Lonchura striata: one gene and its partner. The protein of the gene in region 1 interacts with the protein of each later gene in a pairwise test. Links are inferred from orthologs where the notes say so. Each region holds a gene or a part of one and is shown in the gene's direction. Other genes may lie near its edges.

What was found. The genes of interacting proteins can lie anywhere in the genome.
Region 2: the proteins of LNX2 (region 1) and tubulin beta chain interact in a two-hybrid assay, tested with the Homo sapiens proteins (3 studies listed by BioGRID and IntAct). The link is inferred for Lonchura striata from reciprocal best matches to the Homo sapiens genes LNX2 and TUBB.

Annotation. Positions count from the first base shown.
Region 1 is NC_134604.1:69,173,277-69,180,409, forward strand, and holds the start of LNX2 (ligand of Numb protein X 2), read left to right. Parts: upstream 1-4,089; 5' UTR 4,090-4,279; intron 4,280-7,133. Other genes in the region: protein POLR1D, read right to left, coding at 3,476-3,501.
Region 2 is NC_134631.1:1,344,509-1,351,794, forward strand, and holds the start of tubulin beta chain, read left to right. Parts: upstream 1-4,206; 5' UTR 4,207-4,363; coding exon 4,364-4,420; intron 4,421-7,286. Other genes in the region: MDC1 (mediator of DNA damage checkpoint protein 1), read right to left, coding at 72-3,021, 3,903-3,916. UniProt on the Homo sapiens protein: Tubulin is the major constituent of microtubules, a cylinder consisting of laterally associated linear protofilaments composed of alpha- and beta-tubulin heterodimers.

The DNA of each region.
Region 1 (7,133 bases):
CACCACAAGCTTCCTGACATTTGTTCAAAGTCAAACACATCGCACACTGGGGATAGAAATGCTCTCATTCTTTGCTGATCAGGTTTTGTACTTATTTAAGTATTCTACTTGCCAAGTCTTGTGAGTGTTATTTGCAGCACATTTCTGTGCTAATATTCTCACTGGTCTGAGTAGCAAAGTGAACGTATCACTCCATTTCAAACACCAATCCTAGCTTGCATACCACTTTTTCTTTTCTTTTTTTCCCCCCTTTTCACCAGGGGTAAGGAATACTTAATCCTGACACTTGACTTCAACTGTTAAAATCAATAGTAAGAACCATTAATTTTCTCCAAGGCACAAAGCTTGCTTTTCAAAAAGTGTAGTTGGGCTGCCTTATGAAGCAAAAATATTAGATTATTGATTCTCAACTCAACTAGAGGCCTCTTGTTACAGAATTATAGCATTCTTTGTGACTCAGAGCAGCATCTCCTTAGGAAACACTTAATCCCAAGTAAATGATGCTATAAATAAGCTTGGCAGGTACTTCTAATAAAGTATGATATCCAAGGTTGTGGAATGTTTATAGCTATTGAAAGACAGAATGGATTATGGAAGGATATGGACACACAGTATAACAAAGCCACTTCCTCTGTATTTGAAGAGAAACAACGCATCTTCTGTGCTTCAAACATACAGAACCACAATGGCAATACTTTAGGAAGTAGAGGGGGAAGAAAGATTTCATTTTTTATGCAGGAATGAAAATGGTGACCTACATAATATCTCAGTGTATATTTAGTTGAAATAAACTAGGAAAAGCAGTTTCAGGTGCTTGCAGAGGAAAGAAAGTGAACAGCTCCTACTAGCTGATTCCCTTTTTCCACCTCCTTCTTACATCATAACTTCAAATACCATTAATCATATGCTAACATAATTTAGAATTTTCTTAAGAATCACATGGAACCTTAAGGCTCAGGGTCTTCACTGATGTACCAGCAAGTTCACAGGGGAAAATCTTAGTTCATACTTCTTCCATCAGAGGTTACTGGGTGAGATGGAGTAGAGGATGTAGTTCAGTAGAATGTAGCAAATATTACTGTTTTACACATCTGTGGTATTTATAGCTTTTAGAGTTTTAAAACCCACAGACTGTTGCATTCTGTATGCAACAGTCACACAGGAACTTATAAGTACTCAGCTTCGAGGAAAACCTCACTTCATATTAAAGTGAGGAAAACATCAAAAGCAAGATCAAGTGAGAGTCAGAAACAGTAAAACTGAAAAATAATATTGGGAAATGTGGCAGTAAGGATAAAAATAAAAGAAGCTAGAAGAAAAGACTTCTTAGTAACAAAAATATAGGGCGATTGACTTAACAGATCACTTTTTGGAATACTGGGACACAAAATTAATTTCTGACCTGAAAAAGCATGCACAAAAATATTACGCTTCTTTCTCCCTCATGGTTAATTAAATAAAAAGCACATGTACAAAAACCTTGAATTTTTATTTAAGTCTGCATTGCAAGACAAGCCTGGATTCAGAGACAGACTTCTCAAAATATTCCACATAAACCCATTTTTGAACACTAAAAATGCACTAAAGGAATTAATACTATGGCTACAGAACAGAAACACTATTATTTGTATGTTAAACCCATAATACAAAACCCTTAAAAATTATAAGCCTAAACTGCCATTACTACACTATTCACAGGATGATATGATCAGTATGTTATTGAGTATGAATCTAAGACATAACATCTGTAACACAAAGGATAAAGAAAGATCTCTGTTAGACTGGAAGGGCTCTGTACTGAAGACTGTACAGTGAAGCACTATTTAGAGTGCCAAAGTACACCCTCTAAATGCACACAGCACAAACTGAATTCAGTTCAGGGTGCTACTATCAAAGTAAGCTGTCATGAAAACTTAAGGTATGAAAAAGTAACTGATGATAGGTGGATCGAGGACAGGAAGAGCCAATTGTCAAGTGCACTACACTGTAGTTATAATGTGTTTGGGGCCGACTAAACACCCTCTGAGGTGCACAGTGACACAGATTGGTGACACCAAACAGCTAAACCCTACCGTGCCACTTCGACAAGTGACACTGAGCTTCATCCTCATTATTTACCACACTGCCACAGAACAGGAATAGCAAATCCTAACTTGGAGTGAGCCTTTGAGGAAGGTAAAACTTCAAATGTAGTTTCTGGGAAGAAGAGCATCAGTCAGGAGGTGGCTGTGGAGCAGCTGGCTACAGCTGGTGAGGTCAGCTATGCCCTGAACTGCCCAGAGAACCCCAGGCCCCCAGCACGGCAGCAGCAACCAGAAGACAGCATGGAAGAACAGTGGCATGGTTTCAACTTGCCATGAATGAAAAAGGTTTAAGTTTAGAATGGCACTAGTAAAAATAACATTCATGCATACACCAAAAGAAGCTTTAATTATTAAACTAATGATCTGAGAACAGAAACAGCTCAGCAAGAATTAAAAGCCTCTTAGAAAGCATTAAGCGCTCTAGCCCTTCCACTGTCTCAGTACTATTGCTTTTGGCACATTTCAAATACCTGCCAGATACAAATAGAAAAAAGTTATTTTCGGTAAGCATTCCCAGATACGGTTTCTTAAAAGTTAAAGGAGAGAACCATGAGAACAGTTCAGAAAGCTTCTGGTCATCACTTCACTGTAACAGTTGTTTTAAACAGCCGTAAGGAAAATGAACAACCCAGAAATAAGCTTGCAAAAACAAATTCCCATCAAACAAATAGCACTGTTTTGCAAAACATTTGTGATATAAACACCAAAAGTCTATTCCTAAAACAAAAGCAAGAGAGGCCTACTTTGAGTATCCTAATATGGAAATCAATGTTTTATTCCTCAGTGTTTGCTTGAGAGCACTGCAACTCAAAACGTGCAGCAAGACAAATCCACTGGTTCCAACGAAATGCCAAATAGAAAACAGTTTTAGTTTTTGACAAAATAACTACCAACCATTTTGTATTTTTCTCATACAAGAACACGACAATTCTAACAACTAGTCAAAGGGCACAACTGAAAATTGAAATCTCTAACAACACAAGGTGTTTTGGGATTTTTAAAATTTATTTTGCCAAGTCCACAACTCATCAAATTGTAGCTAATGAGGGGTGAACCATCCAAGACCTTCCAATCCTGTTTCTAAGCGACATCAGCACGCACCCAAAGCTCTGTGCGGAAGACACGGCAGAGGCAGCCCCAGGCCGCGCTGCCCTCGGGGCGCGCCCTGGCCGCACGCCCACAGGAGGGGCTGTCTGCGGGCAGCGGGCAGAGCCCGGCGGAGCTCGGGGCCGGTTCTGCGGAGCGCTCGGGCCGGGGGAGCCGGCCGGCCGCAGCCCCGCGCTGCCCGGGCCCCGCGGCGCGGGAGGCGCTGCCGGGCCCGGAGCGGCGCAGCAGCCGCGTGGAGGCCGCTCGCTCTCGAGACCGCTCCCCGCGCTGTCGCTCCCCCCTACCTCTCCAGCTCCGGGTCCTCCTCCATGGCTGCCCCACCGCTCCCCGCTGCGGCTCCTCAGGGGCAGGCCGGCGCCATCACCCGCGGTCGGCCGGGGGGCGTGGCAGCGGGGCGGGCGTAGGGGCCGGCGAGGACCCCGGCGGGAGGAGCCGGGGCGGGGCGAGCCGGGCCCCGCCACACCCCGCCGGGCACCTGCGGCACCGGTGGTCGCGCCCCCCGCCAAAAGGAGAGCGGGGCGGTGGGCTCCCTGGCGGGCAGGACCCCCGTGCCCCGCCGGCAGGGCGGGGGAAGCAGGCGCGGGGCGGTGACTGAGTGTGGGAGGGTGGGAGCGCCGCTGGGGCTCTCAGTCTCGGAGACGCCCTGGGTTTGCTCCTTGGGCGCGGCCGCAGGGCTCGGGCAGGCGGGGACAGGTCCGCGGGCAGCCCCGGGCGGGCAGCGCCCCACCCGGCCCCTCCTCCGCGCCGGCCCCGCCCGCGCTCCCCACCGCTCCGGGCTCCGCACAGCCGATCAGGCGAGCGGCGGGGACACCCCGGCCCCGGGCTCCAGCGCGTCCCGCCCCGGCCCCGCTGCCATAGGCTGCGGTTCGGCCGGCCCCGCGCCCGGGGCCGCCGCCGGAGTGGCGGAGCGCCGCTGTCACTTGGGCCGCGCCGCTGCCCGCGGCGGGGGGCGGAGGCGGGAGCACCGGCCCGGCCCGGCCCGACGAGACACGTTCTCCAAGTGCTGCTGCCCGGAGTTTGCTTCCCCTAAGGCGGGGCGGGCGCAGCCGGCGCGGCTGAGGAGGAGAGCGCTGCGCGGAGCCGGCGCGGTGAGTAACTCCCCTGCCCCGCGCGGTGCCGGGCGCTCAGCCCCGCTCAGCCTCCTTCAGCCGAGCGGCACCGGGGGTCTCCGCGGGGGCGGCGGCGCCGGGCTGAGCTCTGCGCAGGCAACAAGTACGGGAGTGGGCAGAGCTCCGGAGCCGCCGTGCTGAGGTGGCTGAGGCTGAGGTGGGATCCTCGGAGCAGCGTCCCCGCCCTGGAGCCCCCGGCTCGGCGGCGGGGCTGAGCCCGGCGGCCCCTGCAGCGCGTCTCTGCGAGGCTGAGCTGTGAGCTCGGGTGCTGGAGACCCACTTGGAAAGCGCCTGGTTCTGGGTCCCCCGATACACCTATGCTGCTCTCGTGTGGCTTCATTAAAGAAGCTCTTTCTTGGAGAGGAGTCAGATTTCTGCGTGCGGGGGAGGCAGAGAACAGCTGCGAGCGAACCCCTGCTGCAGGAGCGGGTTTCAGGTTGTGTGTTTTACAGCTGCGCCAGAGGAACTCGGGGCTGCCTGCGAAATGCCGCTGAGTCCGTGTGGTTGGCAGCTGTTTCCAAACGTTCACGCTAGCCCTCGGAGCTCTGACCCGCACTCCCTGGTTTGTCCCCTCATTTGTTAGCTCTTAGCACTGAAAATGTGGTTAGAAAAGTTTTCGTCTTTTATACTTTTAACAAGGCGTACTTTAAAATTACCATTGCTCTTGATGGAATCATAGTACTTGGTCAACTAACTGAGAAAACCGTTCCTGGAGCTCTGGTGGGGGTGAATCTGGTAGTCCCTGGTGACTTTTCTTACTGTGTTCATAATGCACAGTACTGATTGTTTGCTTCTCTAGAAATCTATTAAGTACTTCTGAGCTTCCTTTAATTCCTCTTTTAATTACATGATTTAGGGGTTTGGTTTTTGTCTGTGTGCAGAGTAAAAAATGTCTGTGACAGATTAGCTTTGGACTACATTTGATAGTCTCTGGAAATAAATTTCCAATCATAAGTACTTTTAAACTTATATTCAAAATAAGAACTGGTCTGAACTGTGCTCTCATTAGATAAAGACTTTGAATTACTCATTTTTTTATTCCTCTACCCACTTCTTCTGGCTTTGTAATGCTTTATTCTAAGCTGCAATCCAGCTCAAGGAGGCTTAGGAAGAAACATCAGATGAAGAAACATCAGATGGTTTTGGTTAGTGTCCCTTCCACTTGGAAAATAAACATGTTAGTACCATATGCTGCCCTGTCTTTATTAAAACAAATTTCCTTAAAATGGAAGCAAGTTATATCAGTGTACTTGCTAGAACTGTAAGACTAAATAGGAGTCCTTTATAATTATTCTTTTTTTCTAATTATCAGATATCTAAGGAATCCTCTCTCCTGAACACAGTACAATATAAAATTATTAACTCCAGAGTCATCAGGCTGCAAATAACACTACTGTGCCCAAGTAGATTTTTTTAAATAAAAAAGGTCATAATATTATGTTTTAAAGTGCTTGTTCTGTTGCAATTTGAAAATGTATGGATCTTAAAACTCATAATTTTGCCATGAGTTTTCAGTTCTGAATTTCTAACTATACTTACCCTTTACATTGCTTGGTGACTTCAGGATGAGGGAGCCCAGGGCCTTGGACTCAGGTCTGAGATTTGCAAAGGTAGTACCTTTTCCTAAGACTGCACCTGAATTTTCTGTTACCAAAACAATAAAAAATGTGGCAGTTTAGGGACAAAACTTTGCAAGAGGAATGTAAGCAGGTGATTGGGTGGAAAAATACTGTTCTCCTGAGATGGGTTAAAAAATAAGCTTACTAAAACCTGTCCTGCCAAAAATGGTGGCTTTGGCATTGCAACATTTGGCATTTGTTTATTATGTGCTACCATGGAAGCACTAATCACCTCAGTGAAAGTTTCTTTTTTTGTAAGCCTTTACCCATACTGAGCGGTCTCAATCTTGGTATATATTTATGGATATATATTTTAGTAATATATTTATATTACGAAAAAACAGCAGAAGTTTGTTAGCTACCAGTTAAAACTATGTCTGAAAATATGCCAAAATACCCCCCTCTTATTTAATCTCATTTTTCTGTACTTCTAAAAAAAAGTTAATATATTTGAAAGCAACTGGGAAGAAGTTATACCAGCAATATCAAAGTGAAATGTGTACTAGATGTTAAATAAATACAAATTATTGCCTTGCATCAGCAAAATGTTGTTTGTTTAAAGAGCTACTAGACACGAACGGCTGTAACTAATGAGAAAACAACATTTATTTCGTGTTAAAATGCTCCCTGGTGTAAAAGGCACCAGAGGAAGCTGGTTGTCTATTTGATATGGCAGTGGCTTCTCTGGTATTTGGAAATTCTTTGTTGATTTGGTTTGCAGAAGCATTTTTAATGTGACGCCATTGACTTGCATGCTGTTTAATTGCTTTATTAGGTCAGTGGAGTTTGTCCTTTAGAAATTCTAGTGCCTTTTGAAGATGAAAATGCTTTAAAATATTAGTATTAAGTTATATAATTGATAGGTTAAGGTATCTATGGAGCAGTAAAAATTAATAATATTATGGAGTGTACTTTTTGTGTTCTTTTTGTTCAAATTCTGTAGATATTTATGCTTGCATATGCTTGATTTTAAACATCCAGATAGTTCTTTTGCAATGAGGCTTAATGATAAGCCTGCATGTAAGTGTTTTCGGGATTTATGTTTGCTAAATTCATGGGCTGAACCTGTCATGTGTTTTCATACTGACTACTCTGTATTCTGTATGAGATAGTGTAGGTGGCTGATGGGGCTGGGCTGCACCTTGATGACACATGTGGAGATGTCCCCAGCCCCAGTGTTGTGTTACAGGGGGTCTCGGTGCTGTACCTGACCT
Region 2 (7,286 bases), on another chromosome or scaffold:
CCAAAATCCCTTTGGAGCACCCGGAATTGACCGGAGACCCCCAAAATCACCTGGAACCCCCCCAAATTCACCTGCAGGGTGAGTGGAGCTTCTGCTTCCTCCTGGGTGGGGCTTGGGGGATCCCCAACATCTGGATTTGGGGCCTCTTGCTCCACATTTGGAATTTGGGATTCCTCCGGGGCTGTTTTGGGGCTTTCTGGGCATCCCACAACTGGGTTGGGGGGCAGGAACAGCTGAGTGGCCACATCTGGATCGAGGTCAGGGCTCCCCAGCTCCTCCACATCTGGATTTGGGGTGTCCACCTCCACATCTGGAATTCTGGGGACTTTTGGGGCCGTTTGGGGTCTTTTTGAGGCTGCCACATCTGGATTTGGGTCTGCCTGCTCCACATCTGGATCAGCATCCCCCAGTAATGTCCTGTGGCTCCTCAGTGACTCCTCCACATCTGGATTCAGGCTCTCCAAATCCACATCTGGAACTTCAGGCGAGTTTAGGGGACTTTTGAGTGGTTTTGGGGACCCAGTATCTGGATCTGAGGGTCCTTCCCCCTCCACATCTGGATCAGGGGGCAGAAACAGCTGGGTGGCCACATCCAAGTCCTCCTCCACATCTGGATCTGGGTTCTCCGCCCTCACATCAGGAGTTTTGGGTTCATTTGAGGCCACTTTGTGTTGTTTTGGACCCAGAACATCTGGATTTGGGCCAACCCCCACATCTGGATGTGGGGGCAGGAACATCTGCGTGGCCACATCTGGTTCCAAGGAGGGCAGCCCCTCCACATCTGGGATTTTGGGGTCCTTTGGGGCCATTTTGGGGCTTTCTGGGCTACCAACATCTGGAGAGGGCAGGAACAGCTGGGTGGCTACATCTGGATCTGACTCCTCTTCCTTCTCCGTATCTGGAATTTCATGTAGCTTCTGGGTAATTTGGAGTTGTTTTGGGCTCCCAACATCTGGATCTGCCTCAGCCTCCCCCACATCTGGATTTGGGGGCAGGAACAGCTGGGTGGCCACATCAGGATCCCACCCTTCCTCTTCCTCCTCCACATCTGGAGTTTCAGCCACATTTTGGGTCCTTTGGTGCCTCCCAGCATCTGGATTTGCGGGGTTCAGCCCAACATCTGGCGTTTCGGGCACATTTTGGGTAATTTTCTGTCTTTTTGAGGGCCAAACATCGGGACAAGCCTCATCCTCCTCCACATCTGTGTCACTTTCCACCACCAAGGCTCCACATCTGGATTCAGAGCCTCCAACAGCTGGATTTGGAGATGGTGTGGGCACATCTGGAGATTCAGGTACATTTGGGGTCATTTTCCGTCTTTTTAAGGGCTGAACATCTGGACCTGTCTCATCGTCCTCCACATCTGTTTCGCTGTCCACCAGCAATGTCCCACAGCCCATTTTTCTGCCTGAAACATCTGGATTTGGCGTTTTCAGCCTCACATCTGGAGTTTCAGGCACGTTTGGGGCTGGTTTTAGTCTTTTTAGGCATCGAACATCTGGTTTTGCCTCCTCTTCCACATCTGTGTCGCTGTCATCCAGCAGCACTCTGTGCCTCTGGGAGCCCTCCACAGCTGGATTTGGGGGCTGTGTGGGCACATCTGGAGTTTGGAGCATGTTTTGAGGATTTTCCCATCTTTTTGAAGGACAAACATCTGGATTCCCTTCCTCCTCCTCCACATCTGTATCACTGTCCACCAGTAGTGCCTGACACCCATGTTTGGTCACTCCAGCATCTGGATTTGGGGTCTGTGTCACCACATCTGGACTTTCAGGCACATTTTGGGTCATTTCAAGCTTTTTTAGGGTTTCAACATATGGATCCTCCTCCACATCTGTGTCACTGCTGTCCACCAGCATCTGATACCTGATTGTGGGGCCTGAAACATCTGGATTTGGTGTCCCCCATTGCACATCTGGAGTTTCAGGCACATTCTGGGTCCTCCTGAGCCTTTTTGGGGGCTGCACATCTGCATCTTCCTCCACATCTGTGTCACTGTCCACCACCAATGTGTGATGACCAATTTTGGGCCTTTCTGCAGCTGGATTTGGGGTTTCCACATCCACATCTGGAATTCTGGACACATTTTGGGTCCTCCTGAGCCTTTTTGGGGGCTGCATATCTGGATTCACTTCATCTTCCACATCTGTATCGCTGTCTACCAGCAGCATCCAGGAACGGAGTTTTGGGCCTGAAACATCAAGATTTGGGGCCACTGCTGCCACATCTGGTGTTTCAGGCACATTTTGGGTCATCCTGAGTTGTTTTGGGGGCCGCACATCTGGATTCTCCTCCTCCCCTTCCACATCTGTGTTGCTGTCCGCCAGCATTGTCCAGTGTCCAGTTTTGGGCGTTCCCACAGCTGGATTTGGGGTCTCCACTTCCACATCGGGAATTCCAGGCATGTTTTGGGTCACTTTGAGCCTTTTTTGGGGTTGCACACATGGATCCTCTTCCACAACTGTGTCACTGCCCACCACCTGCATCCCACATCGCATTTTTGGGCCAGAAACATCTGGATTTGGGGTCTTTGCTACCACATCCGGAGTTTCTGGAACGCTTTGGGTCATTTTCAGTCGTTCTGGGGGCTCCACATCTGGATCAGCCTCCTCCTCCACATCTGTGTCACTCTCCACCTGCAGCATCCCACACCCATTTTTAAGCCATGGAACATCTGGATTTGGGATTTTCAGCCCCACATCTGGAGTTTCGAGCACATTTTGGGTCATTTTAAGATGTTTCGGGGACCCAACATCTGGATTTGGCCCCTCCTCCTCGACATCTGTGTCACTGTCCACCAGCAACATCTGGTGCCCATTTTTGGCCTGCAGCACATCTGTACTTGGAGTTTCTGCTGCCACATCTGGAGCCTCCAAGGCATTTTGGGACACTTTGGGCATTTCGGGGTCCCCAGCATCTAGATCTGGCCCCTTCCTGACAACGTCTGGGGTGTTTTGGGGGTAGGGAAGGTGTTTTTGGGGGCCCTCAACATCTGGGGCCACAGCTGGATCGTCAAGAGCTCTGCAAAAGAGGGGTTGGGGGGGGGCTTCAGGTGTTTGGGACCACCCAAAATCCCCCAATGATCCCAAACATGACCCAAAGAACACCAGAAACCTCCAAAAATGCCCCAGGGACCCCAAAACCCCCACAGAGACCCCCAAAATGCCCCCAAATTGCCCCAATGACCCCAACCCCTTCCCAGAACCCCCAAAATGACCCAAAACAGCCCCAATCTGTTCCAGAGACCCCCTAGAACTTCCACTGCCCCCAAATCCTCCTAAACCATCCCAGGACCCTCCCAAACACCCCAAATTCTCCAAGGAACCCCCCAAAAATCACCCAGAGACACCCAAGCTGCCCCCAGAGGACCCAAACCCCGGCCTGGGACTCCCCAAACTGCCCCCAAAAGACTCAAAACAAACCCAGGGACCCCCCAAAACTCTCCAAGCTGCGCCCAAATGACCCAAAATGCCACAAGGATCCCCCAAAACTGCACCTAAAAGGCCCAAAACCCCCCCGGGGACTCCCAATCCCCCCTCAGGAACCTCAGATTCTCTCACAGAACCCCCAAAGCCCCTCAGAGAGCCCAGATCTCCCTCAGGAACCCCAAATCCCCTCAGGAACCCCAAAGTTTCTCTTCGGAACCCCAAACTGCCAAACCAAGCCCCCAGACTTCGCTCAGGAAGCTCCAATCCCCGCCAGAGCCTCTCCCAGTCTCCCTCGGGAACTCCCCCAAACCGCCCCCGAGGCCCAAAGTCCTCCCCAAGGGCCGCTCCAGCCTCCGCTGAGACCCCCAGATCCCTCCAGGAAAGCCCAGATTCCCCGCGGAGCCCAGAGCCCCCCGAATTGCCCCAAATTTCCCTCAGGGCCCCCCAAAAGCGGCCCCGACCCCTCCCGCTCACCCCTCCCGCGGCATCCCCGCCGGGCCCCGCCCCCAGCGCTCCCATTGGCCTCTTCTTCCGCGCGCCAACGCCGGTCCGCGCTTCCCATTGGCTGCTGTGCGTGTCCATCATCGCCCGGCCACAGAGACGGGGCGGGGCGGTCCTCCGGGAGCGCCGGAGCGTCGCAGGGAGGGGCTGAAGTGAGGCCGTAGACCAATTGGAGAGCAGAGAGCTGGATTGACGACGAGATTGACCAATAGAAGGATGGAAAGCGGGCGGCACCGACCAATGAGAGCCGCGGCTTTGTCCTATATGAGCGCGCGCGGGGCCGCGGCTGCCGCCATTTTCACCGCTGTCGCGCTCGCGCCTTTGCTCCGCTCTTAAAGGGGCCGCGCCGCCTCTTTAACGTTTTTTAATTCGGTTTTCCGAGCGCCTCCGCGCCGTCCGGGTGGGCCCGAACCGCCCCGTCAGACTCCGCCGCCATGAGGGAGATCGTCCACATCCAGGCGGGCCAATGCGGCAACCAGATCGGCGCCAAGGTGAGCGCGGCGGGCCCCGCCTCTCTCCGCTGCCGCGGCGGCGTGGCCCCTTTAAGAGCCCCCCCACCCCCGCGCGCCAAGACAAAGGGTGACCCAAAGCGGGGCTATTTTACCCCAGAATCGCCGCTTTCCCGCCGCAGAAGCGCCTGCGAGGGAGGGGGCGGTGATGGGTGGGGGGGATTTGGGGGGAAAATGCGGAGATTTTGTTGCCAAATGAGGATTTGCGGTGCCGAACGCGCGCCCCCCACACGCGGCCGCAAAATGGCGGCTCAGGGCGGCGGCCCCGGACCGCGGCCAATTCGCCTCCAAAATCGCCTTTTCTGGGGTGCTTTAAGGAAAAAACATTATTTTTTCCCGGTTTAAATGACTATTTCATAGGTTTGGCTATGAATGCGGCTTTTTGCCCCAAATCCAGAGGGTCTAGCCGAGGATGGGCGGGGAAGGCGCCAAAATGGCGCCGAAGAGTTCTGAAATTAAAGGATTTAACCCCAGAATTAAAATTTCCACTATAATATTTTTCATAATTAAAACATCATTTGTTTGTTTTTCTTAAACTTCTTATTTTACATGCCCCTTTTTCAGACTGAACTCGGTTGTTTTCACCCCATAACTGCGTATTTTCGTCCTTAAAATCCGCTATTTTCACGGCAAAACAGTCCAATTTTACCTCAAAAAAATGTGGATTTTGTGCCCCAAAATGAAGATTTTTGACCCCCAAACGGGGCGTGACGCCCTGAGGGGTCAGACCTGAGAATGGGAGGATTCAACCCATAAAAAAGCGGCTTAATACCTACAATAAATGTTTTTAGTCCCTAAATAACAGGCGTGTTCCCAGTTTTTTCTAAAATGAGTTTTTAGGTTTTTTTTTTAATCCGCAAAGTGAAGATTTTTAAGCTTCACGATTTTATAACAAGAAAAGTTCTTTATTCTTTAAATGTGGATTTTGGGTCTTCAAATTGAAATAGTCATTCTTAAAATTAATGTTTTTCTTCCCTTGAATCAGCCTTCTCTGAAATGCCGTTTTTACCCTTTAAAAGGGATTATTTAACTCTCAGAAAGCAAACTAAAATGTTAATTTTTTTATTTATGTGATTTTTTTTTCATTGATTAGAGTTTTTTTCCTGCTGCTGAAATGCATCTTTTTGGCACCAAAACATTTTTTTTTTCCCAGCCCCAAAATGGAGCTTCGGAGCTCCAGCTCAGCATCTTTGTTTTACAAAATAACATTTCGCTCCAAAATCAAAATTTCTATCCCCAAAGTAGGGAGTTTTGAAGAGAAAAAGAGCTGGGTTTATTTTCTAGAAGCTGATGTTGGGTTAAAATCGGCATTTTCTCCAGCTCATGGGGAGTTCCAGCCCCAAAATGGAGGTTTCCAGCCCCAAAATGGAGGGTCGGGGAAAGAATCGCAGCTTTGTGCTTCCGAATATGCTTTTTTTTTTTTTTTAACCTCAAAATCACTGCTCTTTCTCCAAATTTAATGGGTTTTATTTAATTTACCTTTTTTTAAGCACAAAATGGTGATTTTTGCACCAAAAAAGCATTGTTTAGGCCTCGGAATTTGCAATTGTTCGCATCTGCTTATCATTTTTGCTGCTTCAAAAATCCCTTCTTTCCCCTGAATATAATCAGCCCCCAAATGGCTGCTTTTAGACTCATATTTAATTTTTTTTCTTTATAGAATGCCTCTTTTTACCCTTTTCAGCTTCAAACCCGTCTCTTTGTGTCTGCAGACTGCATTTCCTGCCCCCTGAGTGAACATTTCCATTTTCAGCCCCATGCTGAAATCTTTGTTCTCCAGAACGCCTCAAATTTGAGTTTTTAACCCCAAAATGCGATTTTTTTTCTTTTTAGCACTGAGAAGAAGGTTTTGAACCAAAATTCTGATTTTGAGGTCCAAAAAAGATTTTTTATTCTACAGAAAATATTGTTATTTAAAAGGTCAAATTTGCTCTCCAAAATTACGGTTTAGCCCCAAATCTGCATTTTTCCACCCCAAAATTTGCAACTTTTACCTTTAAATATTCTATTCCCCCCATAATCCATATTCCTCTCACTAAACTCTCAATTTCAATCGCAAACCAATGGTTTTCCTCAAACTTTGTAGTTTTTAACCATGAGTTTCCCAAGGCTCCAAAATGCAGAAATTTTTTACCCAAAAATACTGAATATTCTGAATTAGATCTTTTAAACTAATTTTTCTTTTTAATTTGCCCAAAATACCCATTTTTACCCCAAATTAAAATTTTTTTGAGCCATTTTTTCCTACATTCCCCAAAACTGCTCTTTTCCTAACCTATTTGTCTCATCACCCCCAAAATCACTTAATTTTTAGCCCATTTTCACTCTCAAACCCCCAAAATGCCCTTTCTCATCTCCTAAATCAGCCTTTTAAAGTCCATCTTTCTTTTATTTTTTAACTCACATTGTTAATTTCTAATGCACTTTTCTCTCCCATCTCCAAAAATAAGGTTTTTAAACCCTTTTTTCTTCTCTGGCCCTAAGTTGTGGGGTTTAAAATATATTTTTCCCTCATGCCAAAACTGCAATTTTTATTTAGAATCACCATTTTTTAGCTCTCTTTTTAAATTCAAAATCCAAAAATTACCAGTTTTAACCCAAATTAATATTTTAACTCAATTTTTCTCTCCACGTTCCAAAAATCCCCATTTTTGCCACATTCCTTTTACCCCAAAATTGCCCTTTTTTCACTTCATTTATCCTCATGTTTTGTTCTCCCCCAGCCCATTTTAACCCCAAACCCCCACATTTGTAGAATCTCGCCTTCAAATGCAAAACTTGGAGCCCCCCAAGGTGAAGTTGGGTATCAAAGTCCTGATTTGGGTGCAAAAAGTCGGTTTTGGAGGCG